Linked DNA regions of Anolis sagrei. The protein of the gene in region 1 interacts with the protein of each later gene in a pairwise test. Links are inferred from orthologs where the notes say so. Each region holds a gene or a part of one and is shown in the gene's direction. Other genes may lie near its edges.

The links.
Region 2: the proteins of PRR13 (region 1) and SREK1IP1 interact in binary tests that used the Homo sapiens proteins (3 or more experiments, as listed by UniProt). The link is inferred for Anolis sagrei from reciprocal best matches to the Homo sapiens genes PRR13 and SREK1IP1.
Region 3: the proteins of PRR13 (region 1) and LGALS3 interact in binary tests that used the Homo sapiens proteins (3 or more experiments, as listed by UniProt). The two-hybrid records come from large-scale screens. The link is inferred for Anolis sagrei from reciprocal best matches to the Homo sapiens genes PRR13 and LGALS3.
Region 4: the proteins of PRR13 (region 1) and ZCCHC10 interact in binary tests that used the Homo sapiens proteins (3 or more experiments, as listed by UniProt). The two-hybrid records come from large-scale screens. The link is inferred for Anolis sagrei from reciprocal best matches to the Homo sapiens genes PRR13 and ZCCHC10.

What each region holds. Positions count from the first base shown.
Region 1 is NC_090022.1:190,607,801-190,614,761, reverse strand, and holds the start of PRR13 (proline-rich protein 13), read left to right. Parts: upstream 1-3,951; 5' UTR 3,952-4,062; intron 4,063-6,961. UniProt on the Homo sapiens protein: Negatively regulates TSP1 expression at the level of transcription. This down-regulation was shown to reduce taxane-induced apoptosis.
Region 2 is NC_090022.1:268,457,866-268,465,077, forward strand, and holds the start of SREK1IP1 (protein SREK1IP1), read left to right. Parts: upstream 1-4,210; 5' UTR 4,211-4,249; intron 4,250-4,359; 5' UTR 4,360-4,479; coding exon 4,480-4,492; intron 4,493-7,212. Other genes in the region: spliceosome-associated protein CWC27 homolog, read right to left, coding at 2,833-2,874. UniProt on the Homo sapiens protein: Possible splicing regulator involved in the control of cellular survival.
Region 3 is NC_090021.1:336,975,609-336,982,985, reverse strand, and holds the start of LGALS3 (galectin-3), read left to right. Parts: upstream 1-4,373; 5' UTR 4,374-4,482; intron 4,483-7,377. UniProt on the Homo sapiens protein: Galactose-specific lectin which binds IgE. May mediate with the alpha-3, beta-1 integrin the stimulation by CSPG4 of endothelial cells migration.
Region 4 is NC_090022.1:95,250,959-95,258,560, reverse strand, and holds the start of ZCCHC10 (zinc finger CCHC domain-containing protein 10), read left to right. Parts: upstream 1-4,591; 5' UTR 4,592-4,624; coding exon 4,625-4,665; intron 4,666-7,602.

The sequences.
Region 1 (6,961 bases):
TGCCTGCTGATAGCGATGCACTGACAGCCCCAATGCATTCTTGGGACTGATCGGCTTTATGGATAGCCAAAATGTTCCAGGATGCTACAAAGTTAGATTTATCTGGTTGATGTAGATACACTTCTAAATCTGGTCAGCCTCTCCAATCCTTTTCTGCACTATCTCTGTAACTTCACAGAGAGAAACAGACAGGAAACTTGATATGGCTGGAGGGTTTTTTGCTTTGTTTTTTTTTTTTTTTTTGGATAAACGTCATCCCCAACATGAAATTGGAAATTCACTTGCTAGCCCGAATTATAGCAAACCTATAGAGTTAACAGATCCAACTCACTCAATGGGTCTATCTGAGACTAATGACGTGAGTTAGGCAACCATTTTTATGGTTTGTGGATGGGGCTCATGATAGTTATATAATTTTCAAATAGGTTTAAATTTATATTGCGATTGTGCTCTTATTTTTGGACACCATGTAGCAAGGGAGCAACTAAAACCAAAAGATTTCCTGAGCTGTATCAAAGTCACAGCATCAGTGTTGCTAGAAATTCAAAGGTTTTTTTTTCCTGGGAAGCTAATTGAAAATCAGGAGCAAAGAGCCCGGGGTGGGTTTTTTTTAGCAGTAACCTTGATGGCGCAATGGCTTCCAGGTATTAATACAAATATAGTGCAAAGACGTATCTGAGTGACTTTGCAACATACAAATCTCTTTTCCAACAAGCCAAATATACTTCACAGACAAAAAAAAGAATGGCCCCATGCAAGCACTATGATTTGTCCATGACGACATAACACTTTCTTGAATTGTTACCGGAAGATGAACGACAGCCAGTGGAGCTCCTTAAACAGGACGATTGACTGCTCTCTGTAATTTGCCCCCGTTAGAATTCTGGCTGCCGAGCATTGAACCAATTGAATTTTCCGGGCTGTCTTCAAGGGAAGCCCCACGTAGAGTGCATTGCAATAGTCCAATCTAGAGGTAACTAAGGCGTGGACCATCATGGTAAAGTCAGACTTCGCAAGGTATGGTTGCAGCTGGCGCACGAGTTTTAATTGTGCAAAGGCCCTCCCAGCCACCACTGACACCTGCGCATCAAACATCAGTGCTGAGTCCAGGAGGACCCCCAAGCTGTGGATCTGCGCCTTCAGGGGGAGTGCAACCCCGTCCAGCACAGGTTGCCACCCAATACCCTGGTCAAGTATATTGGGTGTCTTGTCGGGATTGATCTTCAGCTTGTTTGCCCTCATCCAGGTTGATACAGCAGCCAGGCACTGGTCCAGCATCCGAGGGGCTTCCTTGGATTCGGTGGGAAAGAGTAGTGGAGCTGGGCGTCATCCGCATAGAGATGGCACCCAACTCCAAAACTCCGGATGACCTCTCCCAGTGGTTTCATATAGATGGTAAAAAGCATGGGAGACAGAATGGAGCCTTGCAAGACCCCACAGGTCAATGGCCAGGGGTCCGAGAAGGTGTCACCCAGTTTTACCATCTGGGAACGACCCTCCAGAAAGGACCGAAGCCACAGTAAAACCGTGCCCCCAAGTCCTATTCCGGAAAGCCGACCCAGAAGGATACTATGGTCGATGGTATCGAAAGCTGCTGAGATATCCAAGAGAATCAGCAGGGTCACACTCTCCCTGTCCAGTTCCCTGTGGAGGTCATCCACCAGAGTGACCAAAGCCATCTCGGTACTGTGCCTGGGTCTGAAACCAGACTGTGATCGATCTAGAAAATCGGTGTCATCTAGGAACCCCTGGAGCTGCGAGGCAACCACCCGCTCCAGCACTTTGCCCAAAAAAGGGAGGTTAGAAATTGGTCTGTAGTTATTCAGCATGGATGGGTCAAGGGAAGTCTTTTTCAGTAATTTTACCACTGTCTGCTTAAGGCAGGATGGGAATTTCCCATCCCAATGATGCATTGATGATGGAGATAAACCAGTCCAACAACCCACCCTTTGCCAATTTAACTAGCCAGGAAGGGCAAGGGTCCAGAGCACAAGTGGTTGCCCTCACAGCCCCCAGGATCCCGTCAATGTCATCAGGCAAAATAAGACAAAAAGAATCCCATAAGATCGGACAGACGGGAGCCTCGGTTACCTCATTTGGCATTGCATTTAAATTGGAGTCCAGCTCGAGACGTATCCGAGCGACTTTGCCTGCAAAATAGTGCGTGAAATCGCTGCACCGAGTTGCCGTGTCATCAGGGATGTCCTTCACCTCAGGTGGGTGGAGGGTGTCCCCAACAACCCAGAACAACTCTGATGGCCTATTGGCTGCAGACACTATGTGGGCAGTCGAGAAGGTTTTCTCGGCTGCCCGCCGAGCCGTGGAGTAAGCCCTAATAGTGTCTTTAGCCTGTGCTCGGTCAGAGATGTCATCCATTCTTTTTTATCACTATCCTGCTATATCATGTTGAACCCACACAATTTGTCAGATTTAAGCAGGACTGATTTCAGATAAATGGTTCTGCATTTCTTCCAAAACATTGTTGGTTTTTGAAGTCAACCTTGTAGAACAGGCATGCAGTCGTTCAACTTCTTTTAATTCTTGGTGGCACTCCTATTTCTCTCTCTCTCCCTCTGGTTTCGCTTGTTCCAATGCAAACTCTGCTAGTGTACTAAATAAATACCGTGTCCCTTTGTTCATCAGCTCCGCCTTTTGATATGGACTTTGTTTTCATAATAAGCCAGTCAGCCTGTTCAGGAGAAACGACACACCTGCTGCAAATCCCTACTTCAACACACAATAATATTGGGTTGCTGTAGGTTTTTTCGGGCTATATGGCCATGTTCTAGAGGCATTCTCTCCTGACATTTCGCCTGCATCTATGGCAAGCATCCTCTGAGGATGCTTGCCATAGATGCAGGCAAAACGTCAGGAGAGAATACCTCTAGAACATGGCCATATAGCCCGAAAAAACCTACAACAACCCAGTGAGTCCAGCCATGAAAGCCTTCGACAATACACAACAGTATTGCTTTATTTCTCTATTAATGCAGTTCCAAACCGATATTGAAGAAAGTGGTTTGGTTGTGTAGATGATTACATATAAAGTCCTAGAATGGGTTTGTAGCCCAGATGGTGATTATATAACAGACCAGTGATGCTCATGAAAGAATTTCTTTCAAGTCCTTTTGTGGAGTTTATTGCCTGATTGCTGCAGTTTGAAGCTAGCTTTTAAAAAGGTAAAAGTTTCCCCTGACATTAAGTCTAGTTGTATCCGACTCTAGCGGGTGATGCTCATCTCCATTTCTGGACCAAAGAGCCAGCGTTGTCCATAGACACCTCCAAGGTCATGTGGCCAGCATGGATACATGGAGCACTGTTACCTTTCCACAGAAGAAGTACCTATTGAGCTACTCACATTTACATGTTTTTGAACTGCTACATGGAGTGCTGTTACCTTTCTGCAGAAGCAGTACCTATTAAGCTACTCACATTTGCATGTTTTTGAACTGCTAGGTTGGCAGAAGCTGGGGCTAACAGCGGGAGCTCACTAAATGGCCTTAAATGGCCCTGCTTTCCAAAAGTGTAGTTCTGAAGCTTGAGAAACATCTACAAAACCCAACCACCCATAAAAGTTTAGGGGTGCATCTACATCGTGGAATTAACACAACTTGATACCAACTTAACTTCCATAGCTCAATGCTATGGAGTCCTGGGTGTTGTAGTTTGAGGAGGCCCCAAAACTTTTGATCAGAGAAGGCTAAAACCCTGTAAAACTATAAATCCCATAGCATTGAACCATGGCAATTTAATTTTTGCAGTGTTGATACAGCTTAACTTCTGTCTTAACCAAAGTCTCAGTCTGTATTTATCAACACAAAATCTATGACGTCTCCTTTACACACACCCCATTTCTCAGCTCTTTGAAGCATAACTGTTGATGGACATCTTCCTTAGCCTATAGGAAGAGGGCGTTGAGAGCCGCAAGCCAATGGGAATGAAAGAGGTGGAGATAGAATCAGGTTCCAGGAAGTGGAGGCTTCAGAGTTGCAGAGAGTGAAGAAGCAGGAACAGAAAGGGCTGAAGGGAGGCAGGTGGGTGCTCTTGTGATCAGGTGTAATTGTATGTATTACAGTATACACTTTTAATCAGACGTATATAAACTCTGGCTTTTGTATTGTTTTTCATTTGTATAGTTGAAAACATGTTGTTAGCCTCCTTGAGCCCTCCTGTATGGAGAAAGGAGGGAATATCAATGAGTATCATAATCATCACCATCAAATATCCTGTTTCTGTGTTGAAGACGCAGTGTCTCCCTGCACTGCCTGGCTTGTAACACGATTTTTGTCTCTGGGTTATAAATGTCATTTCCTAATTGACTCTATCATAAAAACATGAGGAAAGTTTATTTAAATGCAAAAACTTTGTTTATGGTGGACATCCTGCCGCACATTTTTGCTATAGCTTTTCAATGACTATTTCATCGAGTCCTAACCAATTGAACATAGTTTGTGGCAGCCACAAAAACAAAGTTTCTGGAGTATAACAACTACTTTCAAAGTAAGTACCGCACAATTAAACAGGAATTAATATTTGGTGTGGTGGAGGCTCCTTCTTTGGAGGCTTTTAAACAGTAGCTGGATGGCCATCTGTTGGGGATGCTTTGAATGTGATTTTCCTGCTTCTCGGCAGGGGGTTGGACTGGATAGCCCATGAGGTCTCTTCCAATTCTATGATTCTATGAAATCAGGAACAGGGGTAAAAATCAAATGTTGTTACATAGTGTTATTAAAGTGTGGCCCTTTTTGTTGTCGATTGCTTTTAAGTAAACTTTGGCTTATAGTGAACCTATGGGTGAGAGTCTTCCAGTAGCACTGAACAGTCGCTCTCACTGACTCAAGGCTTTGGCTTCCATAAGTGAACCTATCCATCTGTAGTGTGATCTTATTTTCCATCTGACTTCTAACTTACCAGTCAGTATTGTCTTATTTTCTGGTGAGCCATGTCCCCCCCCCCTTTTTTTTGGTCGTGTCAGGAGCTACTTGAGAAACTGCAAGTCGCTTCTGGTGTGAGAGAATTGGCCGTCTGCAAGGACGTTGCCCAGGGGACACCCTGATGTTTTGATGTTTTATCATTCTTGTGGGAGGCTTCTCTTGTGTCCCCGCAAGAGGAGCTGGAGCTGATAGAGGGAGCTCATATGCTCTCTCCCCAGATTCGGACCTGCGACCTGTTGGTCTTCAATCCTACCAGCACAGGGGTTGAACCCTCTGTGCCATTGGGGGCTCCATGTCATGACAGGGCTAAAATATGACAGCTTCAGTTTAGTTGTCTTGGGGCTCTTCCACACAGCCATATAACCCAGAATATCAAGGTAGACAATCCCATAATATCTGCTTTGAACTGGAATATATGGCACTGTGGACTCAGGGCCCTTTCATACAGCCGTATAACTCAGAATATCAAAGTAGACAATCCCCAATATCTGTTTTGAACTGGATTCTCTGAGTCCACCCTTCCATGTATCCCAGTCCAAAGCAGAAAATGTGGGATTTTATTCAGCGGTGTGGAAGGGGCCTTAGTTTCTAGGGAGCATTCAGTATTGAACTCTTCTGGGGAGGCCCTGCTCTCAATCCTGCCTCCTTTGCAGGTGCGACTGGTGGGGACAGGGCCTTCTCCGTGGTGGCTCCTTGGCTGTGGAACTCCCCAGCAACATTAGATCAGCCCCCTCCCTCCTGGCCTTCAGAAGGAAAGTGAAAATGTGGCTTTGAGATCAAGCCTTCGGAGAATAATTGTAATGTAATAATAGATACAGATTATGTGCAATGACTACTGGAATGGCCCCAGATTAATGATTGTCGATGGTATGGTTTTCAACAGTGAATAAAATGTTTTCTAAATGTTTTGATGTGCATTAGTTTATATTCATAATTTAAATGTTTATATTATTTGTATGTTTTAAAGCATTGAATAGTTGCCTATATGTAAAGCCGCCTTGAGTTCTCTTCGAGGTTGAGATATGCTCTTGGGCACCCATTTATGGTGCCCAAGAGCATATCTCAACCTCGAAGAGATTGAGATATGGGCACCCATTGATATGCTCTTGGGCACCCATTTATGGGACTTCTTAGCAGTCCACCATATCTGCAGAACTCTTCTCCAGCCCCACATTCAAATGGGTTTAATTTGCTGCTGTTACTTTTCTTCAATGTCCAGACTTTTCTCAGAGTGTTTGAATATGTTAGATAAGCAGATAAACTAAGAGAGACTGAGAGTACAGGTGCTGGTCAAGTGTTCTATGCTGAAGGATGCGTTTGTCTGGAATAAAGATGGAAAAAGTGAATGTTCCAGCAAGATTTGTTGCTTAATTCCACACATTTTGGGAGATCGGAGGGCCAATCTTAATTGTTCCTATTGTACAGATGGGAAAATTGAACTCTGAATATAAAAGGCATTTTCTGACAGCTCAGTTATGGATCTAGGATTTGAATCCAGCTTGTTGTCTTATATATTGGATGGTTGGATTATAGCTTGATTGCTATTTGCACTACAGTAGTATTACTGTACTACTAGTGCTATTTGCACTACAGTAGTATTACTACAGTAGTATTACAGTAGTATTACTGCTGCCGTTCATTTTCCGATCCCAATTCAAGGTGCAGGTGCTCACTTACAAAGCCCTAAACGGTTTGGGACCTGCCTACCTGCATGACCGCATCTCCGTTTACGAACCCGCACGTTCCCTTCAATCATCTGGAGAGGCTCTGCTCTCGATCCCACCTGCGTCGCAGGCGCGTTTGGTGGGAATGAGGGACAGGGCCTTCTCTGTGGTAGCCCCCCGACTCGGGAACTCTCTCCCCAAAGACATCAGACAAGCCCCAACGTTGGCTGTCTTTAGGAAGAGCCTGAAGACCTGGCTGTTTCAGTGTGCCTTTCCAGAATAGGAAACTCCTGGTTTCAAGTCCCAATTGCACTTTGCTAGAGACTCAGGATTATCTGCACATTGCACCTACCTCCATATACC
Region 2 (7,212 bases), about 78 Mb from region 1:
AGCATGATGGAGTTTCCTTCTCTGGAGATTTTTAAGCAGAAGCGGGATGGCCATCCGTTGGGGGTACTTTGATTGTGCTTCTCTTACATGCCACAATGGGGTTGGACAGGATGGTCCTTGGGTTCTATTCCTACTCTACAATTCTATGTAACCAGGCACATCTGCCCTCCTGCTTGTTGCTTCCCACAAAACATGCAATGGTCACATATGGGAGGCTTCAGGAACAGTCAGTTAATCTGGAGAGCATTTCATAAAAACTTGATGCACTCAGTTATGTCTTTGTGTTATCCCTAACAAAGGGGTTTAGTGCACCTGAACCAGGTAAGAACACTGAATAGGAGATCAGAAACATTTTTTTTAGCTGCAGTGAAAAATGTGTCTGGGTTCCAAGTCCATAAAACAGGCATGGGCAAACTTCGGCCTTCCAAGATCAAATGGGATCTGGTGCCGACTGTTAGGAATTATGGGAGTTGAAGTCCAAAACACCTGGAGGGCCCATATTGGCCCTTGCCTGCCATAAAACATACACAGACCCCGTTTAATAACGAAGAATAAACCATTTACACATTTCTGAATGTACATTACAAACCGTAACTTGATGCATCAGATACATCCCATTTCTTGTCACATCTGCACTTGACAGGCCACATAGGCACATCCAATGATGCCTTTTATTTAATTAAGTGCTCGGAGTAATTAAATCCAGCATTCACTACTCTGACTAAATAAAATGTACATCCAATTTGCTTATTCCCCACACTGTTGAAATGACATCCTTCTTCAAGCCTTCTCTAGTAATGTTTATCTATTATCCCGTTGCTTACTCTTTATATGTATGTTCTGGTATGCAGCTTCCTTTGCTCTATGGTTCTTAAGAAGTTATAAAAGGGGCTGTAGACCCCATGAGCTATAGCAGACTGCAGACAGACAGACTATTGCAGACTACAGGCCACATGATCATAGCAGATTACTACAGACTGCTGATAGCAAACTTCAGACCTCAGATCACACACCTGTTGTTTTGCTATAAGAAGTGTTCTGGCCAGATAGTACAGAGAATTATCTCAAACATATCTGAAACTGGACTGATAAGTTTTGCACCTGTGTATGCTGAACACATGAAGGTTGTGAGTAAACCAAATATGTTATTTTTATCCAAGTCTACTTAATCTTTGTCTCTTGAGTGTATGATATAAAACAAGTTGGGTTGCTGTGAGTTTTCCAGGCTGTATGGCCATGATCAAGAAGCATTCTCTACTGATGTTTCGCCCATCTCTATGGCAAGCATCCTCAGAGGTTTTGAGGTATATTGGAAACTAAGCAAGGGAGGTTTATATATCTGTGGAATGTCCAGGGTGGGAGAAAGAACTCTTGTCTGTTGCAGGCAAGTGTGAATGTTGCAGTTAATCACCTTGATTAGCATCGCAAATCTTCGCAGCTTCAAGGGCTGGCTGATTCCTGCCTAGGGGAATCCTTTGTTGGGAGGTGTTAGCTGATTGTTCTTTCTCCCACCCTGGACCTTTCACAAATATATAAACCTCCCTTGTTTGTTTCCAATATACCTCACAACCTCTGAGGATGCTTGTCGTAGATGCGGGTGAAACAACAGGAGAGAATGCTTCTGGAACATGGCCATACAGCCCGGATAACTCACAGCAACCCAGTATTTCCGTCCATGAAAGCCTTCGATAATACATAAAACAAGTTGTTTTATGGGGGGAGTATATTTTTGGGCACTGAAAAACACTTCTGAAGCACTGCTGTTGGAAAAAGTATGATAGCTGGGACCCTATGGTACGGTACTTGTGCAATGCGGGTCAGAATGAACGATGGGAAGACGTGCACAACGTGGGTCAGAATTAATGAAGGGGGGGGGGCACAACAAACAGCCAAGCATAGTGCTTAAGGCGAGTGAAGTAATGTTAGACTTATTTACTGTGAAATGATAAACAATGGTTTACGAAGAAGATAAACGGGACAGAAATGTTTCCTCTCCCCCTTTCTGGCAAACAATGTTCCCACAACTTCTTTGGAGGTTTTTAAACAGAGGCTGGATGGCCATCTGTCAGGGGTGCTTTGAATGCAATATTCCTGCTTCTTGGCAGAGGGTTGGACTGGATGGCCCATGAGGTCTCTTCCAACTCTATGATTCTATGACTCTGTCGCAGTTGCGTCTCTCACTCGCTGCGCTGTCATGCGCACGTGTTTCCCTCATTAAGTCATGCCCGCATTGCACAACCAGCGTAGGATCCCAGCTGTCATACTTTTGCCCTGCTGTTTATTTATGCACTGGCAAAATCTGTTTTCTAACAGATCAGCGATAACAGGTTATTCAGTCTAACAACTGAAACTGATTACCTTGCATAATTATATCTGGTTGTATACCACAAGAGAAGAGTCTACACTAAAGCGTTTTTGACTCTTCTCTGAAAGGTCATGCTTTTCTTAAAAAGTTACGATCTCCAAATGACGTTTTCCAAAATGTTATGAATGCCCTTTTCCAAAAACTCCACACAAACATAAGCTGGCATGGCAAGAAACAAAATGTAGATTAAAAATTAACATCAAAGACCAACAGCTTTGCTATTAGGCTGCATCTACACTGTCGAATTAATGCAGTTTGACACCACTTCAACTGCCATGGCCCAGTGCTATGGAATGGTGGGAGTTGTCGTTTGGCATCAGCACTCTTTGGCAGGGAAGGGCAAAGACCTTGTAAAACTACCAGGATTCCATAGCATTGAGCCATGGCAGTTCAAAGCGGGTTCAAACCGCGTTAATTCCGCAGCGTAGACGCACCCCAGCTCTTCCTCTCCCGAAATGGGCCCTCACCTTGCCGTTGGTGGGCGGCTCTTGGATGTAGATGTTGCTCATGGCGCTGCCTTCGGCCCAGTCCTTTGACAGGGAAGAAAACACGGAAGGAAAGCGCTTTCGCTTCGGTTTAAGCAAAGCTCCAGGGCAAACCTCCCGCCATCTTGGAAAGCGGGCGCGACCACTTCGGCAACGGGGGGGAGAGAAGAGAGAGAGCAACGCTGAAGGAAAGCCAAGTCTCCAAACCTTGTTATTGGAACCTGGCTCGGCGTCTCACAATATGTAACTTGTTAAGGCAGTGGATGGGAGGATATGGATCGAATCCGTATCAGTACTTATCTCATAACTCGGGAGGCCTCCCCCATTGGATATTGGAACAGTCCAAAGTGCGTTACCTAAAGTCTTCCGACTGAACACCGCCACCCGAAACTTTCTATCCGCCTCGGAGCAGTGAGCTGTAGATTGAGCCCGGCTGGTGTAATGATGACATAGGGAAGGAGTGGGCGGAAAGAATGGGTCGCGCGTGCGGTGTAATTGGTTGAGCTTTGTTCAATGTCTCTGGAGACGAGGCACAAACTAAAGTCTTCTTTGACTCAAATGTATAACACTTTTCTACTCCTTCAGGCAACAAACTTTGCTGCGCTCCTATTGGTCCGAATAGTGAATAGTGAAAAGACCAAGGCAGTGACATCTCTGGCCCATCCCCTGTTTGGGTATCAGCCAGCACGCCAACGACTTAAATCTAGACATAGTTTTCTTAGATCTACAGAGACACTCGCTGGAACACCTCAGCAAGTGAGAGTCCAAAAGTGGCAGGCTCAAACCCAGCACTTCAACCAATGGCTGATACCAAATGAGAGACTCCCTCCTGGGCACACAGAAGACTGGGCGACTTGGAAAGCGCTGAACAGACTGCGCTCTGGCACCACGAGATGCAGAGCCAACCTTCAGAAATGGGGCTACAAAGTGGAATCCTCGACATGCGAGTGCAGAGAAGAGCAAACCACTGACCACCTGCTGCAATGCAACCTGAGCCCTGCCACATGCACAATGGAGGACCTTCTTGCAGCAACACCAGAGGCACTCCAAGTGGCCAGATACTGGTCAAAGGACATTTAAGCAACTACCAAACTCACACATTTTGTATTTTCTCTGTTTGTTTGCTTTGTTCTGTTAGAAATGTAATATAATTGACTGGATACCAGGTCTGCAAACTTTGTGTTTTGTTTGTTTGTTTGATTGATTTTAACGCAATACAACTGTTTTGGTTCACTCCTGGCAGGATAAATAAATAAATTCAACAAGCCCGCCTTCTTTCGTTGGGATTGGTTCATGGGAAGGGGAACATTCCATTACCAGACTAGGGGGGGAGTGTCCAAAGGAAGAAAGGAGTTAGAGTTGAATGACTCCGCGGTGAAAAAAGAGAAGGGACTGTGAAGTAAGCCATAATGCTTTAAAACATAGTTGAATACTGGCTGCCTAAGAGTCTCCCCTCTTCTATGTAAGTAAATATTTCTCCCTTCTTTCTCCCCCCCCCCTCCATTGCAGATGGTGGTAAAGCCCTCAGTGCTCTGGTCCCAGATTTCCGGCGGGGAAGCGTCGCTCTCGGGAAGTTGTTCCTGGAAGAGAAAGGACCCTGGGTTGAGCTCAGGCTGCTAGAGTTGCTGCATGGCGCTGCCAGGTGAGCTCTTCATATGCAACAAGCCACGTGTTGATAGTTAATTCTGTTACTCAGATTAGAGATGGAAGGAAACAGAGAAGAGATGGGAATGTGTCCAGAGGAGGGCGACTAAAGTGATCAAAGGTCTGGAGAACAAGCCCTATGAGGAGCGGCTTAAGGAGCTGGGCATGTTTAGCATTCAAAAGAGAAGGCTAAGAGGAGACATGATAGCCAAGTGAGAGGAAGCCACAGGGAGGAAAGAGCAAGCTTGTAGATTAGAGATGAAAGGAAACAGAGAAGAGATGGGAATGTGTCCAGAGGAGGGTGACTAAAATGATCAAAGGTCTGGAGAACAAGCCCTATGAGGAGCGGCTTAAAGAGCTGGGCATGTTTAGCCTGAAGAAGTGAAGGTTGGGAGAGGAGACATGATAGCCATGTATAAATATGTGAAAGGAAGTCATAGGGAGGAGGGAGCAAGCTTGTTTTCTGCTTCCCTGGAGACTAGGATGCGGAACAATGGCTTCAAACTACAAGAAGGGAGATTCCATCTGAACATGAGGAAGAACTTCCTGACTGTTCAGCAGTGGAACTCTCTGCCCCGGAGTGTGGTGGAGGCTCCTTCTTTGGAGGCTTTTAAACAGAGGCTGGATGGCCATCTGTCGGGGGTGCTTTGAATGCAATTGTCCTGCTTCTTGGCAGGGGGTTGGACTGGATGGCCCATGAGGTCTCTTCCAACTACGATTCTATGGTTCTATAATGGGATAAACCCTTGTGCCAGCAGGACTGCTGACCAAGCGGTCAGTGGTTTGAATCCGGGGAGAGCGGGTTTAGCTCCCTCTGTTAGCTCCCTTGCAGAGACATGAGAGAAGCCTCCCACGAGGATGGTAAAACATTAAACATCTGGGCTTCCCCTGGAGAACGTCCTTGCAGATGGCTAATTCTCTTGCACCAGAAGTGACTTGCAGTTTCTCAAGTCGCTCCTGACACACACACACACACACAAATCCTGAGTTCGATAAAATGTGGATTATTTTCCATTCATTACAAATACAGCAGGCTATCAGTTAACCTGCACCCATCAGATGGAGTTTTTGTTTGCTTGAGAGTTACAGTGAAAAATATGCCTCATGCTATACCATATCATAAACTCTGTATTGACTTGATATTAATGTTAAAATACAGTAACTGAAAGCAAATTAAGACACACACAGTTTTACTGTATTCTAAATACAGCTTTGTGAATGAATGATTAATTCTTTGATTTTAGTTTTGCTGGTTGCTTGAGAGTCTGCTGTACATGGATCTGCAATGCAGTGTTACTTTTATTATAAGTGGAAAGAAATGCATCATATACAGTTGGACCGCTTCTCCCATCATCCATTACCATGGCTTACACTAGTGAGGGTTGGTGAGAGTCCAGCATCATTTGCAGGACTACATGTCCCATACTCTGTCTGAAATGCATTTATTTATTCGCTTCATTTATACCCCACCTTTCTCACTCCATTGGGCGACTAAGGCGGCTTACAGCCCCGGCAAAATTCAGTGCTGCTTGAAACACGGCCATAAAACAAATTCAATCAACTAAACAATTAAAACAGTTAAGCAAATAAATGCATTCACTAATAATAAAGTTAAAAACATATAAAGTGCATAGTAAGTAAAGGTAAAGGTTTTTCCCTGACATTAAATCCAGTTGTGTCCGACTCTGGGGTGTGGTGCCTATCTCCATTTCTAAGCTGATGAGCCGGCGTTGTCCATAGACACCTCCAAGGTCATGTGGCAGGCATGACTGCATGGAATGCCATTACCTTCCCACCGGAGCGGTACCTATTGATCTACTCACATTTGCATGTTTTCAAACTGCTAGGTGGACAGGAGCTGGAGCTGACAGCAGAAGCTCACACCGCTGCCCGGATTAAAATCTGCTACCTTTCAATCAACACGCTCAGCAGCTCAGCGCTTTAGCCCACTGTGCCACCATAGTACCATTCATGAAATGCATTACATTAAACAGTGCACCTGGTTATTTATTTATCGTGTCATCAGCAACCATACCATGTGAAACTAATTGAAATATATTATGTTGCTGTGATAATGAAATTAGTGTGAATTTCTAATGATGTTGTCCTTTGTTTTACTAAAAATGTAGGCTTCTCTCTAAGTGTGAAGTGATTAAAATAAAGCAAAGGGTAAACCCAAAGTTAAGATACTCTAGTCTTCTGTATGCACTTCTTAAAAGAAGGAAACAAAAGGATTCATCCTTGGTTGTTGGAATGGCCTGAAAGATCATTGGTGTTTCTTCTGCCTGGAGTTTTTTTCAAAAAGTGTTTTTGTTTCTAAGATTAACATACCAACTTTAAATCAAATGAATCTTAAAAGAGTTATAGGTTACAGATAGAATCATAGGGTAGGAAGAGACCCCTGTGGTCATCTAGTCCAACCCCATGCCAAGCATGAATTCACAATCAAGCTCTCCCAAAAGATAATCATTCAGCCTCTGTTATTACACTTACACTGAATGAGACTCTGCCACCCTATGAGGTAGCATAATTCAGTGTTGAACAGCTGTTGTCATCAGGAATTTTTTCCTAAAAGTTTAGATGGATTATTTTTTCCTGTAGTTTGAACACCCTAACTCCCACCTTCCAAGTGTCACACAATTCATTCCTAGGATCAGCATGTTTCTCTTTTGTTCTGTATCCAGAAACTGTTGAAAATTGGAATGAAATGTTCTTTCT
Region 3 (7,377 bases), on another chromosome or scaffold:
AATTATCACATGGTTTCCTTGGCTAGAATTGTTTGAAATCTGGTTGCCTTTGCTGTCTTCTGAGGCGGAGAGAGTGCACTGCATCATAGTGAACCTGAGCATGTACGAAGTGCCATTTCCACCACCATAGACAGACCGAGCCATTTGCAATTGTTGTGAGCCTTCAAAACATTTCCAACCTATAATGATCTGATTGCAGGATTTTCATGGCAAGAGCATTCTGAACACTACCAACAATAGAATTTGGCCAAACTTCCTACACAGAACCTCCATGACCAACAGAAAATACTGTGTTTTCTGGTGGTCTTTGGTGACCCCTCTGACACCCCCTCGTGACCCCTCCAGGGGTCCTGACCCCCAGGTTGAGAAACACTGATCTATATAAATAAATTAATGAACATTATGGCAAAATTCATTCACAAAACCTGAGAGTCTATCTTTCCTCTTGCAGGGATCTGGCCATTTGACAGATTACCAGCCCAAACTAGGATAAGGGAGGGTTTCCTTTGATATGAAACCCTAAGGCAGCACTATTAGGAAGTTTTCTTAGCAAGAATATGTCAGAAGCTTTTCCTTGCCACAAATCCTGAGAGCTTATCCCTCCTCTTGCAGGGATTTGGCCATTGATCGATAATGAGCCAGGGATTTGGCCATTGATTGATAATGGAGTCTGGGTTCTCAACCCGAAAAAGATCGCATTCTTTCAGAATTAGCAGATTGAAAACTGGGGAAGACTCCTCTTGCTTCCCTGCTTTTGGGGACTTCTGTACCTTTAATGCAGTCCTGGGCAAGCTTGGGCCCTCCAGGTGTTTTTGGACTTCAACTCCCACAATTCCTAACAGCCGCTGGGCTGTTAGGAACTGTGGGAGTTGAAGTCCAAAACACCTGGAGGGCCCAAGCTTGCCCAGGCCTGCTATAGAGTTAGAAGTTCTTCCTAAGGTTCTTAAAAGCAAACTAGTCCAATGTGGACGAGGCAATTCTATTAGGAAGTTTTCTTAGCAAGAATAGATCAGAAGCCTTTCGTTTCCACAAATCCTGAGAGCTTATCTCTCCTCTTGCAGGGATTTGGCAATTGATTGATAATGAGCCACAACCAGAGGGCAAAGAGGGTTCCTTTGCACCAAACCATAAGTGAGTTTTCGTGGCAAGATTGGCTCCAAAGTCTTTCCTTGTCACAAAACCTAAGAACTTACCTTTCCTCTTGCAGGGATCTGCCCAGCCACAACCAGGATCATAGGCTCATTTGATGCCAAACTCTAAAGCATGGGATTGTTTTGGAAGAATTGGTTCCGAAGTCTTTTCCTTGTCATAAAACCTGAGAGCTTACCTTTCCTCTTACAGTGTTTTTCCATTAATGGTCTAACAATAAAACCTTGGTGGGACAGAGGTCCTTTTATGTCAAAATTTAAGATTTTCTTGCTTCCAAAGTCTTATCTTGTTCTAAAGCCAGGATGCTTACCTCTCCTCTTGCAGGGATCTGGCCATTGATGGCTGATCGATCAACCTCTTTGGTGCCAAACCTTAAACTATGGAATTTTCTTGGCAAAATTGGTTCCAAAGTCTTCCCTCGGTCACAAATCCTGAGCTTTTCCTTATAGCAAAACCTGAGTTCTTTCTTTTCCTCTTGCAAGGATCTGGCCATTGATGGCTGATCGATCAACCCCAAAAGCATGGGATTTTCTTGGCAAAATTGGTTCCAAAGCCTTCTTTCGGTCACAAATCCTAAGAGTGTTTCCTTATAGCAAAACCTGAGTGCTTTCTTTTCCTCTTGCAGGGATCTGGCGCTTAATAGGTGATCAGCCATAATTTGGGAAACAGTGGGGTATCCTTTAGTGCCAAACCTGAAGGTGATACTTTTTCTTGTCACAAAGCTGAAAGCTTATCTTTCATCTTGCAGGGATCTGGCTAAATTGATAGCTCATAAATCAAACCATGGGGTTTTTTTTGGGGGGGGGGGTACTTTGGTGCTCAAGGCAGCATTTTCATGGCAAGATTGGCTCAGAAGCCTTTCCATGCCAAAAAGCCTGAGTGTTTACCTTTCATCTTTCAAGCATTTGAGTACTGAGGAATCTTTGGTAACAAACTCAACAGTGCTTTTATTGGCCACTATGGCCACATCATGAGGAGTCAGCAAAGCCTAGAGAAGACAATTATGCTGGGGAAAGTGGAAGGCAAAAGGAAGAGGGGCTGATCAAGGGCAAGATGGATGGATGGCACCCTTGAAGTGACTGGACTGACCTTGAAGGAGCTGGGGTTGGTGACGGCCGACAGGGAGCTCTGGCGTGGGCTGGTCCATGAGGTCACAAAGAGTCGGAGACGACTGAACGAATGAACAACATGGTTCAGAAGGAAATCCTTGTCATAAAACTGGAGCGTTTGCAGGGTTAGATCATTAATCGCAACCAGAGGGAGTGGGTCTTTTGGTGCAAAACCCTATCAAGATGTGACATGTTACGAAGCCTGAAGACTTATCTTTCCTGTTGGAGGGATCTGGCTAATGGATAGATCAACACAATTTATCCAAATTTATAGATAGATGAATCTGTCAGGGTTGGCTTGATGCACCTTCCTCTTGGCCTGTTTCTCCTTTTCGCTCTCCATTCATGCCTCTTCGAATTCTGCAGCACTACTGGTCACAGCTGACCTCCAGTTATAGCGCTCAATTCGAAGAATTCGAAAAGGCACGAATGAAGGACGAAAGGGAGAAACGTGCCAAGAGGAAGGCACGTCAAGCCAACTCTGACTGGGACTGCCTTCCATCTGGAAACTGATGTCCTCGCTGCATAAGAACATGCGTATCAGGAATAGGGCTCCACAGCCACCTATGGACCCACCACCAAGACACTCCACTTGGAGGACCATCATCCTCGGGCTACGAGGGATCGCCTAACTAATTAAGAAAGACATTAATTATAGAAAAGCTATAGCCAAATGTGCTTACAGCAAGATGTCCCTCCTGCAGAGAACAAAGTTTTGGCAATTTAATAAACTTTGTCCATGTTTTTAAGGATAGAACCAATTAGGAAATGATATTAATAGCCCAGTAACAAATATTGTGTTGTATAAGTGTCACCAGCCACAAGCAGAGGGAAGTTTGTTTTGGTGCCAAACTTGAGATTTCCTGGGAAGAATGGGTGCAGAAAAAAGCCTTTCCTTGTCACAAAGCCTGAAGGCTTACCTTTCCCCTTGCAGGGATCTAGCCATAAGGTGGTTCAAAGGCAAAGAGGGTCCCTTGGGTGCCAGGCATTGGAGGGAGGCCACCTTACCCCTCATTCTCCTTGAGACATCCCAGGGAGAAAGGGTTCAGAAAGAAGCCTTTCCTTGCCGCAAAGCCTGAAGGCTTACCTTTCCCCTTGCAGGGATCTAACCATTGAGTGGTCCAAAGGCAGAGGGGAGACCCTTTAGTACCAGGCATTGGAGGGAGGCCACCTTACCCCCTCATTGTCCTTGAGATTTCCTGGGGAGAAAGGGTTCAGAAAGAAGTCTTTCCTTGTCGCAAAGCCTGAAGGCTTACCTTTCCCCTTGCAGGGATCTAACCATTGAGTGGTTCAAAGGCAGAGGTGAGACCCTTTAGTACCAGGCATTGGAGGGAGGCCACCTTACCCCCTCATTTTCCTCGAGATTTCCTGGGGAGAAAGGGTTCAGGAGGAAGCCTTTCCTTGTCTCAAAACCTGAAGGCTTACATTTCCGCTTGCAGGGATCTAACCATAAGGTAGTTCAAAATCAGAGGGGAGACCCCTTGGTACCAGGCACTGGAGGGAGGCCACCTTACCCTCCCCTCCCTCATTCTCTTTGAGATTTCCTGCTAAGAAAGGTTTCAGAAAGAAGCCTTTCCTTGTCGCGAAGCCTGAAGGCTTACTTTTCTCCTTGCAGGGATTTAGCCATAAGGTGGTTCAAAGGCAAAGGAGGTCCCTTAGGTGCCAGGCATTGGAGGGAGGCCACCTTACCCCCTCATTCTCCTTGAGACTTCCTGGGGAGAAAGTATTCAGAAAGAAGTTTTTCCTTGTCGCAAAGCCTAAATGCTTACCTTTCCCCTTGCAAGGATCTAACCATTGAGTGGTTCAAAGGCAGAGGGGAGACCCTTTAGTACCAGGCATTGGAGGGAGGCCACTTTAGCCCCTCATTCTCCTTGAGATTTCCTGGGAAGAAAGGTTTCAGAAAGCAGCCCCTCCTTGTCTCAAAGCCTGAAGGCTTACCTTTCCCCTTGCAGGGATCTAACCACTGAGTGGTTCAAAGGCAGAGGGGAGACCCCTTGATACCAGGCACTGAAGGGAGGCCACCTTACCCCCTCGTTCTCCTTTTCCTCCCCTGCATCTGAGTGAGCACCTCCTCCTTGGGTGGGGCGGTCCCGCGTGGGGCGGTCTCGGGTGGGGCTTGGCTATTTGAGCGCCTCCAGCCTTTCCCTGTTGCTTCAGCCCGTCTTTGGCGACCGAGGAGAACTCTTCGTCCACTAGTGACAGACACCCAGGTAGACCCACCCAGGTAAGGAGCCAAGGAGGGAATGGGGTGGCTTCTTGGCCTCTGGGTTCTCAACCCGAAAAAGGTCGCATTCTTTCAGATTGAAAACTTGGGAAAATCTCCTCTTGCTTCCCTACTTTTAGGGACTTTTGTACCTTTAATGCAGGCGTGGGCAAGCTTGGGCCCTCCAGGTGTTTTGGACTTCAACTCCCACAATTCCTAACAGCCGGTAGGCTGTTAGGAATTGTGGGAGTTGAAGTCCAAAACACCTGGAGGGCCCAAGCTTGCCCAGGCTTGCATTAAAGGTACAGAAGTCCCTAAAAGTAAAGGAAGCAAGTGGAGTCTTGGCTCCTAAGCCTTTCCTTGTCACAAAACCTAAGAACCTAGCTTTCCTCTTGCAAGGATCTGCCCATCCACAACCAGGATAATAGGCTCATTTGATGCCAAACCCTAAAGCATGGGATTGTTTTGGAAGAATTGGTTAAGAAGCCACAAAACCTGAGAGCTTACCTTTCCTCTTACGGTGTTTTTCCATTAATGGTCTATCAATAAAACCATGGTGGGACAGAGGTCCTTTTATGTCAAAATTTAAGATTTTCCTGGTTCCGAAGTCTTATCTCGTCCTAAAGCCAGGGTGCTTACCTTTCCTCTTGCAGGGATCTGGCCATTGATAGCCGATTGATCAACCCCTTTGGTGCCAAACCCTAAAGCATGGAATTTTCTTGGCAAACTTGGTTCAAACGTCTTTCCTTGGTCACAAATCCTGAGAGCGTTTCCATATAGCAAAACCTGAGTGGTTTCTTTTCCTCTTGCAGGGATCTGGCACTTAATAGGTGATCAGCCATAATTTGGGAAACGGTGGGGTATCCTTTAGTGCCAAACCTGGTAATACCATTCCTTGTCACAAAGTTGAAAGCTTATCTTTCATCATGCAGGGATCTGGCCAAATTGATAGTTCGATCGACTCCTTTAGTGCCAAACCCTAAAGCATGGAATTTTCTTGGCAAACTTGGTTCAAACGTCTTTCCTCGGTCACAAATCCTGAGAGCGTTTCCATATAGCAAAACCTGAGTGCTTTCTTTTCCTCTTGCAGGGATCTGGCGCTTGACAGGTGATTGGCCATAATTTGGGGAAAGGGTGGGGTGTCCTTTAGTGCCAAACCTGAAGGTGATACTTTTCCTTGTCACAAAGCTGAAAGCTTATCTTTCATCTTGCAGGGATCTGGCTATTGATGGCTGTTCAATCAACCCCTTTGGTGCCAAACCCTAAAAGCATGGGATTTTCTTGGCAAACTTCGTTCAAAAGTCTTTCCTTGGTCACAAATCCTGAGAGCGTTTCCTTATAGCAAAACCTAAGTGCTTTCTTTTCCTCTTGCAGGGATCTGGCACTTGACAGGTGATCGGCCATAATTTGGGGAAAGGGTGGGGTGTCCTTTAGTGCCAAACCCGAAGATGATACTTTTTCTTATCACAAAGGTGAAAGCTTATCTTTCATCATGCAGGGATGTGGCCAAATTGGTAGTTCATAAATCAAATCATGGTTTTCCTCTTGAAGGGATCTGACGCTTGACAGGTGGTCGGCCATAATTTGGGGGAAAGGGTGGGGTATCCTTTAGTGCCAAACCCAAAGGTGATACTTTTCCTTATCACAAAGCCAAAAGCTTATCTTTCATCTTGCAGGGATCTGGTCAAATTGGTAGTTCGTAAATCAAATCATCGTTTTCCTCTTGCAGAGATCTGGTGCTTGACAGGTGGTTGGCCATAATTTGGGGAAAGAGTGCGGTATCCTTTAGTGCCAAACGCAAAGGTGATACTTTTTCTTGTCACAAAGCCAAAAGCTTATCTTTCATCATGCAGGAATCTGGCACTTGACAGGTGATCAGCCATAATTTGGGGAAAGGGTGGGGTATCCTTTAGTGCCAAACCCAAAGATGATACTTTTCCTTGTCATGAAGCTGAAAGCTTATCTTTCATCTTGCAGGGATCTGGCCAAATTGGTAGCTCATAAATTAAATCATCGTGGGGCGTGGGGGGGGGGGGGATCCTTGGTGCTTAAGGTGGTATTTTCATGGCAAGATTGGCTCAGAAGCCTTTCCGTGAATCTTATTTCCTGCTTTTAAACCCATTGCAAGCTTGCTAATTCCTCCTCAATGGGATTTCCCTTCCAATATTTAAACCTGGCTCTCGTGCTTCCCTTTCACGCTTCCCTTTCTTCAAGGTAAACCTATCCAACACCCTAATAAGCCCCTTGTCATTGGGATTCATAGTTTCCACACCTTGTTGGTCATCTTTCTCCTTGTTAAATATTTAAAACTGGGGAGAGTTCCTTTTTCCATTCATGTCTGTGCAGAAGAGGAAATATTCCCTTTCCCATGCTTTTAAATTAGACTAATACATAAACACATAGATAAAAACCAATATATACATATGTCCATAAACAGATTTTCCACCAATACATACATTGCTATATACATTCCTGCCATTTACATACACATAAAAACCCCAGTGATTGGTTCACCTTAAGGGAAGTCATGGTATTTTGCCTTGGTCAGGCCACACCTGGAATCACACTATGTCCAATTCTGGGCACCATTGACTATAAGCTGGGATGTGTCCAGAGGAGGGTGGCACAAAAATCAAGGGTCTGGAAAACAAGCCCTACGAGGAGCGGCTTAAAGAGCTGGGCATGTTTAGCCTGCATAAGAGAAGACTCAGAGGAGACATGATGAGGGCCAGGCATAAATAGGCGAGGGGAAGTCATAGGGAGGAAAGAGCAAGCTTATTTTCTGCTGCCCTGAAGACTAGGACACAATGGAAAAATGGCTTCAGACTACAGGAAAGGAGAGCCCACCTGAACAAGAGGAAGAACTCCCTAACTATAAGGAGAGCTGTTCAGCAGTGGAACTCTCTGCCCTGGAGT
Region 4 (7,602 bases), about 95 Mb from region 1:
TTTCTAGGTTGAAGGCGGTCCTGGTCAGGGTTGGCTTGATGCGCCTTTCTCTTGTCACATTTCTCTCTTTCGCCCTCCATTCATGCCTCTTCAAATTCTACAGCACTGCTGGTCGTATGCTTCTGCGAAGGTGTTTAGAGTGGCTTGTAGGTCTTCTTCTGAATGCGCACAGACAACATTGTCATCAGCATACTGGAGTTCTATAATAGATGTTGTTGAAACCTTGGTTTGTGCCACCCAGTCCAACTCCATCCTGCTATGCAGGAAAAACGCAATCAAAACACCCCCTACAGATGGCCATCCAGTCTCTGTTTAAAAGCCTCTAAGGAAGAGCTTCCACCACACTCTTAATGTTCAGGTTGAATAACCCTTCCTGTGATTTTATGCCTGAGGCTGTTAGGAATTGTGGGAGTTGAAGTCCAAAACACCAGGATGACCGAAGTTTGCCCATGCAGCATTTTCTCCTGGCATTTCACTTGCATCTATGGCTGGCACCTTCAGAGGACAATTATTATGATTGCTATTATTATTATTATTATTATTATTAAAAACACAACAAGATGAGTCCACAGCAGACACTCTGCTGGCTGGTGTATTGGATCACACGTTGGACACTTCCCAAGTGTCTAGGAGTGTGTGATGTATTGGCGTATAATGCGTGCAGATCCCAGTAAGGTGTCCTTCTGCAGCTGGCAGATGATAATTTTGTCAGCGCCGATTGTGTTTAAGTGCAGGCCAAGGTCTTTAGGCACTGCACCCAATGTGCGGATCACCACTGGGACCACCTTTACTGGCTTGTGTCAGAGTCTTTGCAGTTCGATCTTTAAATCCTCATATTGTGCCAGCTCTTCCAGTTAATTCTTTTCAAACCAGCTGTCACCTGGGAATGCAACATCGGTGATCCATACTTTGTTTTTTAACACGATCGTGAGTTCAGGAGTATTGTGCTCCAAAACTCTGTCTGTCTGAATTCGGAAGTCCCAGAGGAGTTTGACGTGTTCATTCTCTGTAACTTTTTCTGGCTTGTGATCCCACCAGTTCTTTGTTGCAGGCAGATGGTATTTGTGGCACAAATTCCAATTAATCATCTGAGCAATGGTATTATGCCTCTGCTTGTAGTCTGTTGGCACGATCTTATTGAAGCAGCTGAGGATGTGATCTATTGTTTCATCTGCTTCCTTGAAGAGTCTACATTTGGAATCTTAATATTAATACTATTATTTGAAACACAACAAGATGAGTCCAAAGCAGACACTCTGCTGGCTGTTGTATTGGATCACACGTCGGACACTTCCCAAGTGTCTAGGATTGTGTGATGTATCGGCGAATAATGCATGCAGATCCCAGTACGATGGCCTTCTACAGCTGGTAGCAGGTAATTTTGTCAGCGCCAATTGTGTTTAAGTGCAGGCCAAGGTCTTTAGGCACTGCACCCAGTGTGCGGATCACCATTGGGACCACCTTTACTGCCTTGTGCCTGAGTCATTATTATTATTATTATTATTATTACTCAGTTCTTGTGGGTTTTTTCGGGCTATATGGCCATGTTCTAGAGGCATTTCTCCTGACGTTTCGCCTGCATCTATGGCAAGCATCCTCAGAGGTCTGCTGGAGCTGGGGTAAAGGGGTTTATATATCTGTGGAATGACCAGGGTGAGACAAAAGGCTTTTGTAAGTTGGGCTAGGTGTGAATCTTTTCAACTGACCACCTTGATTAGCATACAATGGGCTGACAGTGCCTGGAGCAAACTCTTCTTGAAAGGTGATTAGATGTCCCTGCCTGTTTTTCTCTCTGCTGTTTTAATTTTAGAATTTTTTAATACTGGTAGCCAGATTTTGTTCATTTTCATGGTTTCTTCCTTTCTGTTGAAATTGTCCACATGTTTGTGGATTTCAATGGCTTCTCTGTGTAGTCTGACATGGTGGTTGTGAGAGTGGTCCAGCATTTTTGTGTTCTCAAATAAAATGCTGTGTCCAGGTTGGTTCATCAGGTGCTCTGCTATGGCTGACTTCTCTGGTTGAAGTAGTCTGCAGTGCCTTTCATGTTCCTTGATGCGTGTTTGGGCGCTGCGTTTGGTGGTCCCTATGTAGACTTGTCCACAGCTGCATGGTATACGGTAGACTCCTGCAGAGGTGAGAGGATCCCTCTTGTCCTTTGCTGAACGTAGCATTTGTTGGATTTTCCTGGTGGGTTTGTAGATTGTTTGTATGTTGTGTTTCCTCATCAGCTTCCCTATGCGATCAGTGGTTCCCTTGATGTATGGCAGGAACACTTTTCCTCTGGGTGGATCTTCATCTTTACTCTTGTGGCTTGTTCTTGGTCTTGCAGCTCTTCTGATGTCTGAGGTGGAGTATCCATTGGCCTGGAGAGCCCAGTTGAGGTGGTTCAGTTCATCTTGGAGGAGGTGGGGTTCACAGATTCTTTTTGCACGGTCTGCCAAGGCTTTAATGGTGCTTCTTTTTTGACTTGGGTGATGGTTGGAGTTTTTATGTAGATATCTATCTGTGTGTGTGGGTTTTCTGTAAACGGTGTGACCCAATTGTTGATCAGGTTTGCGGATGACTAGGACATCTAGAAAAGGCAGTCTTCCTTCCTTTTCTTTTTCCATGGTGAACTGGATGTTAGGGTGGATGCTGTTAAGATGTTCCAGGAACCTGTTGAGTTCTTCATCTCCATGGCTCCAAATGGTGAAAGTGTCATCCACATATCTGAACCATATAGTGGGCTTTTTGGTTGCTGTTTCAAGAGCTTGTTTTTCAAATTGTTCCATGTAGAAGTTAGCTATGACTGGGCTGAGAGGGACAATGAATTCTACGAACAGAAAGATGGAGTAGCTATGGGGAGCCCTCTCAGCCCAGTCATAGCTAACTTCTACATGGAACAATTTGAAAAACAAGCTCTTGAAACAGCAACCAAAAAGCCCACTATATGGTTCAGATATGTGGATGACACTTTCACCATTTGGAGCCATGGAGAAAAAGAACTCAACAGGTTCCTGGAACATCTTAATAGCATCCACCCTAACATCCAGTTCACTATGGAAAAAGAAAAGGAAGGAAGACTGCCTTTTCTAGATGTCCTAGTCATCCGCAAACCAGATCAACAATTGGGTCACACCGTTTACAGAAAACCCACACACACAGATAGATATCTACATAAAAACTCCAACCATCACCCAAGTCAAAAAAGAAGCACCATTAAAGCCTTGGCAGACCGTGCAAAAAGAATCTGTGAACCCCACCTCCTCCAAGATGAACTGAACCACCTCAACTGGGCTCTACAGGCCAATGGATACTCCACCTCAGACATCAGAAGAGCTGCAAGACCAAGAACAAGCCACAAGAGTAAAGATGAAGATCCACCCAGAGGAAAAGTGTTCCTGCCATACATCAAGGGAACCACTGATCGCATAGGGAAGCTGATGAGGAAACACAACATACAAACAATCTACAAACCCACCAGGAAAATCCAACAAATGCTACGTTCAGCAAAGGACAAGAGGGATCCTCTCACCTCTGCAGGAGTCTACCGTATACCATGCAGCTGTGGACAAGTCTACATAGGGACCACCAAACGCAGCGCCCAAACAAGAATCCAGGAACATGAAAGGCACTGCAGACTACTTCAACCAGAGAAGTCAGCCATAGCAGAGCACCTGATGAACCAACCTGGACACAGCATTTTATTTGAGAACACAAAAATGCTGGACCACTCTCACAACCACCATGTCAGACTACACAGAGAAGCCATTGAAATCCACAAACATGTGGACAATTTCAACAGAAAGGAAGAAACCATGAAAATGAACAAAATCTGGCTACCAGTATTAAAAAATTCTAAAATTAAAACAGCAGAGAGAAAAACAGGCAGGGACATCTAATCACCTTTCAAGAAGAGTTTGCTCCAGGCACTGTCAGCCCATTGTATGCTAATCAAGGTGGTCAGTTGAAAAGATTCACACCTAGCCCAACTTACAAAAGCCTTTTGTCTCACCCTGGTCACTCCACAGATATATAAACCCCTTTATCCCAGCTCCAGCAGACCTCTGAGGATGCTTGCCATAGATGCAGGCGAAACGTCAGGAGAAATGCCTCTAGAACATGGCCATATAGCCCGAAAAAACCCACAAGAACTGAGTGATTCCGGCCATGAAAGCCTTCGACAATACATTATTATTACTATTACTATTGCTACTATTATTCCTGTAAGGTGGCCTTCTGCAGCTGTCAGATGGTAATTTTGTCAGCGTTGATTGTGTTTAAGTGCAGGCCAAGGTCTTTAGGCACTGCACCCAGTGTGTGGATCACCACTGGGCCCATCTTTACTGGCTTGTGCCAGTCATCATCATCATCATCATCATCATTATTATTATTATTACTATTGTTACTATTATTCCTGGTGGGTTGCCTCAATCAAGAAAACCCTGGCTTTGAGTCTGCAAGACCTGAGCAGGGCTGCTGATCATGGGAGAGCACATTTGAGGAAGGATAGTGGTTTGGAGACAAGGCAGGGCTGTGGGATTCTGGAGGTTGTAGTGTGAGAAGAGCCCTGCCCCATTCCTCCCTCCCCGTAGGCCTCCTCCTCCTCTTCCTCTTCCGGGGGGCGGGGCCAGCGGCGGCCAAGATGGCGACCCCCATGCATCGCCTCATCGCTCGGCGGCAAGCGTGAGTGGGCGAGGGGCGAGGGCGGGAGCGAGAAGCCACCTGTCCTGGGTCCGCTTTGCCTTCTTTGGTAGTCGTCGTGGCTTCGAGGGGCTTCTGTTTCTGTAAAGAGCAGAGGCTGAGGTTTCCTATGGTATATCTGCGAGGCCCCCCTTTCCCCCTCTCCTCCTCCTCCTCCTCCTCCTCCTCCTCCTCCTCCTCCTCCTCCTCCTCCTCACAGAGAAGGGGCTTCTACTCAGGCAAGGGCAAACCGGCTGCTAGGAATTGTGGGAGCTGAAGTCCAAAACACCTCCCATGCCTGATCTACACTGTGGAACAGACATTCACAAACTTAGGCCCTCCCTCCAAGGATCTTGGATTTCAACTCTCACCATTCCTAACAGCCTCAGCCCCCTTCCTTTTCCATATATCCCAGTTCAAAGCTAAAAATGTGGGATTTTATTCAGCTGTGTGGAAGGGGCCTCCATCCTGAGCCTCTTCAAACTACGAATCTCGGAATTCCTCAGCCTTGGGATTTGTAGTTTGAAGAAGCTCAGGGCGGAGACCCCTTCCACACAGCTGAATAAAATCCCACATTTTTAGCTTTGAACTGGGATATATGGCAGTGTGGACTCAGATAACCCAGTTCAAAGCAAACATTGTGGAACTTTCTGCCTTGATATTTAGGGTTATATGGCTGTGTGGAAGGGCCTGGAATCATAGAGTGATTCCCTTGCACTCAGCCAAGGCAGTTCAAGGGGGTCAAGGGGTGTTCGGGACCTAGGGTTGAGGCACCTTTAAGCAGGGGCCGAAAACCAACAGCGTTTGGGCAAAAGTATGATAGCTGGGACCTAATACTGGTTGCGCAACGCGGGTCAGGGAGCCCCTGGTGACGCAGTGGGTTAAACCCCTATGCCGGCAGGACTGAAGGCCGACAGGTCGCAGTTCGAATCTGGGGAGAGGCAGATGAGCTCCCTCTATCAGCTCCAGCTCCTCATGCGGGGACATGAGAGAAGCCTCCCACAAGGATGATAAAACATCAAATCATCCGGGCATCCCCTGGGCAGCTTCCTTGCAGACGGCCAATTCTCTCACACCAGAAGCGACTTGCAGTTTCTCAGGTTGCTCCTGACACGACAAAAAACAACAACAACAAAACGTGGGTCAGAATTAGAGAAGCGAAGATGTGCGGGAGACAGCGTTAATTTTATAGCACGCTTCATCCACATGTAATTAAGTTAAGTTTGAGTGATAGTGAAGGATGGTAAAGTTAGCAATAGTTAAGTTTATAGCACACACCAGCGTCTCTCACTTGCTGTGCAAGTGTAATTCTGACCCGCATTGCGCAACCAGCATTGGATCCCAGCTATCATACTTTTGCTTATGTGCCTGAGGGGGAAAAGGAAAGGGCCTGAGGCTTTCAGGAATGGTGGGAGTTTAAGTCCAAAACCCCTGGAGGGAGGGCCCAAGTTTGCCCATGCCTGCTGTAGAATGAATTCAGTTTGACCCCATTTCAAATGCCATGGTTCCATGTCATGGAATTATAGGAGCTGTAGTTTAACAACAACAACAACAACAACTACTACTACTACTACTACTTTATTTTTAACCCGCCCCCTCTCTCCAAAGTGACTTAAGGTGGCTTCCAAAAACAAAGATGGCAAACATTCAATGCCATGGGCAATTACAACATAAAACAGAAACAAAACAAACAAAACCAGTTAAAAATAAGCAAACAAAACAACCTTGATTAAAACATAAAACCAACCGGCATCATAAACAACAGAGTAGGCAGTTAAAATCTGTATAAAAATATGAGAATATGGCTCTCCAATAAGTTAAGGTAATGTAATCACCGTCAGCATCATCAGGCGGGGTAGAATGAATAATAAACTAATTATCTTCCTCTCTATAAGCTAATGTGCATTCTGGCCTGTATGGCCATATTCCAGAAGCATTCTCTCATATCTCTGTGTGTCTTGGAACAGTTTCTCCCAGTAGAGATGTTCAATATGTTGTCTAAGGCTTTTAATTGTTTCTTAAAGGAGAGGAGTAAAGTTTTTAATTGTTTCTTAAAGTGAGAAGTGAAGAGGCTGTTCTGATTTCCATTGGGAGGGAGTTCCAGAGGGAAGGGGCTGAGAAAGCCCCCCCTCTCGTTCCCACCAGCTGCACTTGAGATGGGGGTGAGACTGAGAGGAGGGTCCCCTCCGATGATCACAGTGTCTGAGCAGGTTTGTAAACAGGGATGCGGTTTGTCAAGTAGTCTGAGCCCAAATGGTTTAGGACAGTGGTTCTCAACCTGTGGTTTCCTAGATGTTTTGGCCTTCAACTCCTAGAAATACTAACAACTGGTAAATAGGCTGGGATTTCTGGGAGTTCTAGGCCAAAACACCTAGGTACCCACAGGTTGAGAACCACTGGTTCAGGGCTTTGTAGGTTGTATTTAGCCCAGAAGTGAACCGGTAGCCAGTGGAGCTGCCATAACATGGGAGTTGTCCGTTCCCTGGGCGGTGCTCTGGTTAGTAATCAGGCTGCCGATCTCTGAATCAGTTGAAGCTTCCGAACTATCTTTAAAGGCAGCCCCACATAGAGAGCATTGCAGTAGTCCAAGCGATATGCAACTAAAGCGTGGACAACCGTAGCCAGATCTGGTGCCACACTGGATGAAGTCTTCACCCTGGGATAGTGACTTCTTTGCTTTTGAGTGGTTCATTGTACACAAAATCATATACCTATGAGTGCATCTTTTTCAAATCCTCTTACAAAAAGATAGTAACACCCACATAGGTGGCTAAGATATTGACACTGGCCTTTTGGCGTTTCGGTATAGACATATGCAACATTATTGAAAATATTGGATAAAAACACCATCGGGTTATGTGTAAAAATGTATATGTAGATAATGAGACATCTAAGAGATGAGACACAAATGTGTAGAATTGTGCTTCATCTCTTAGATGT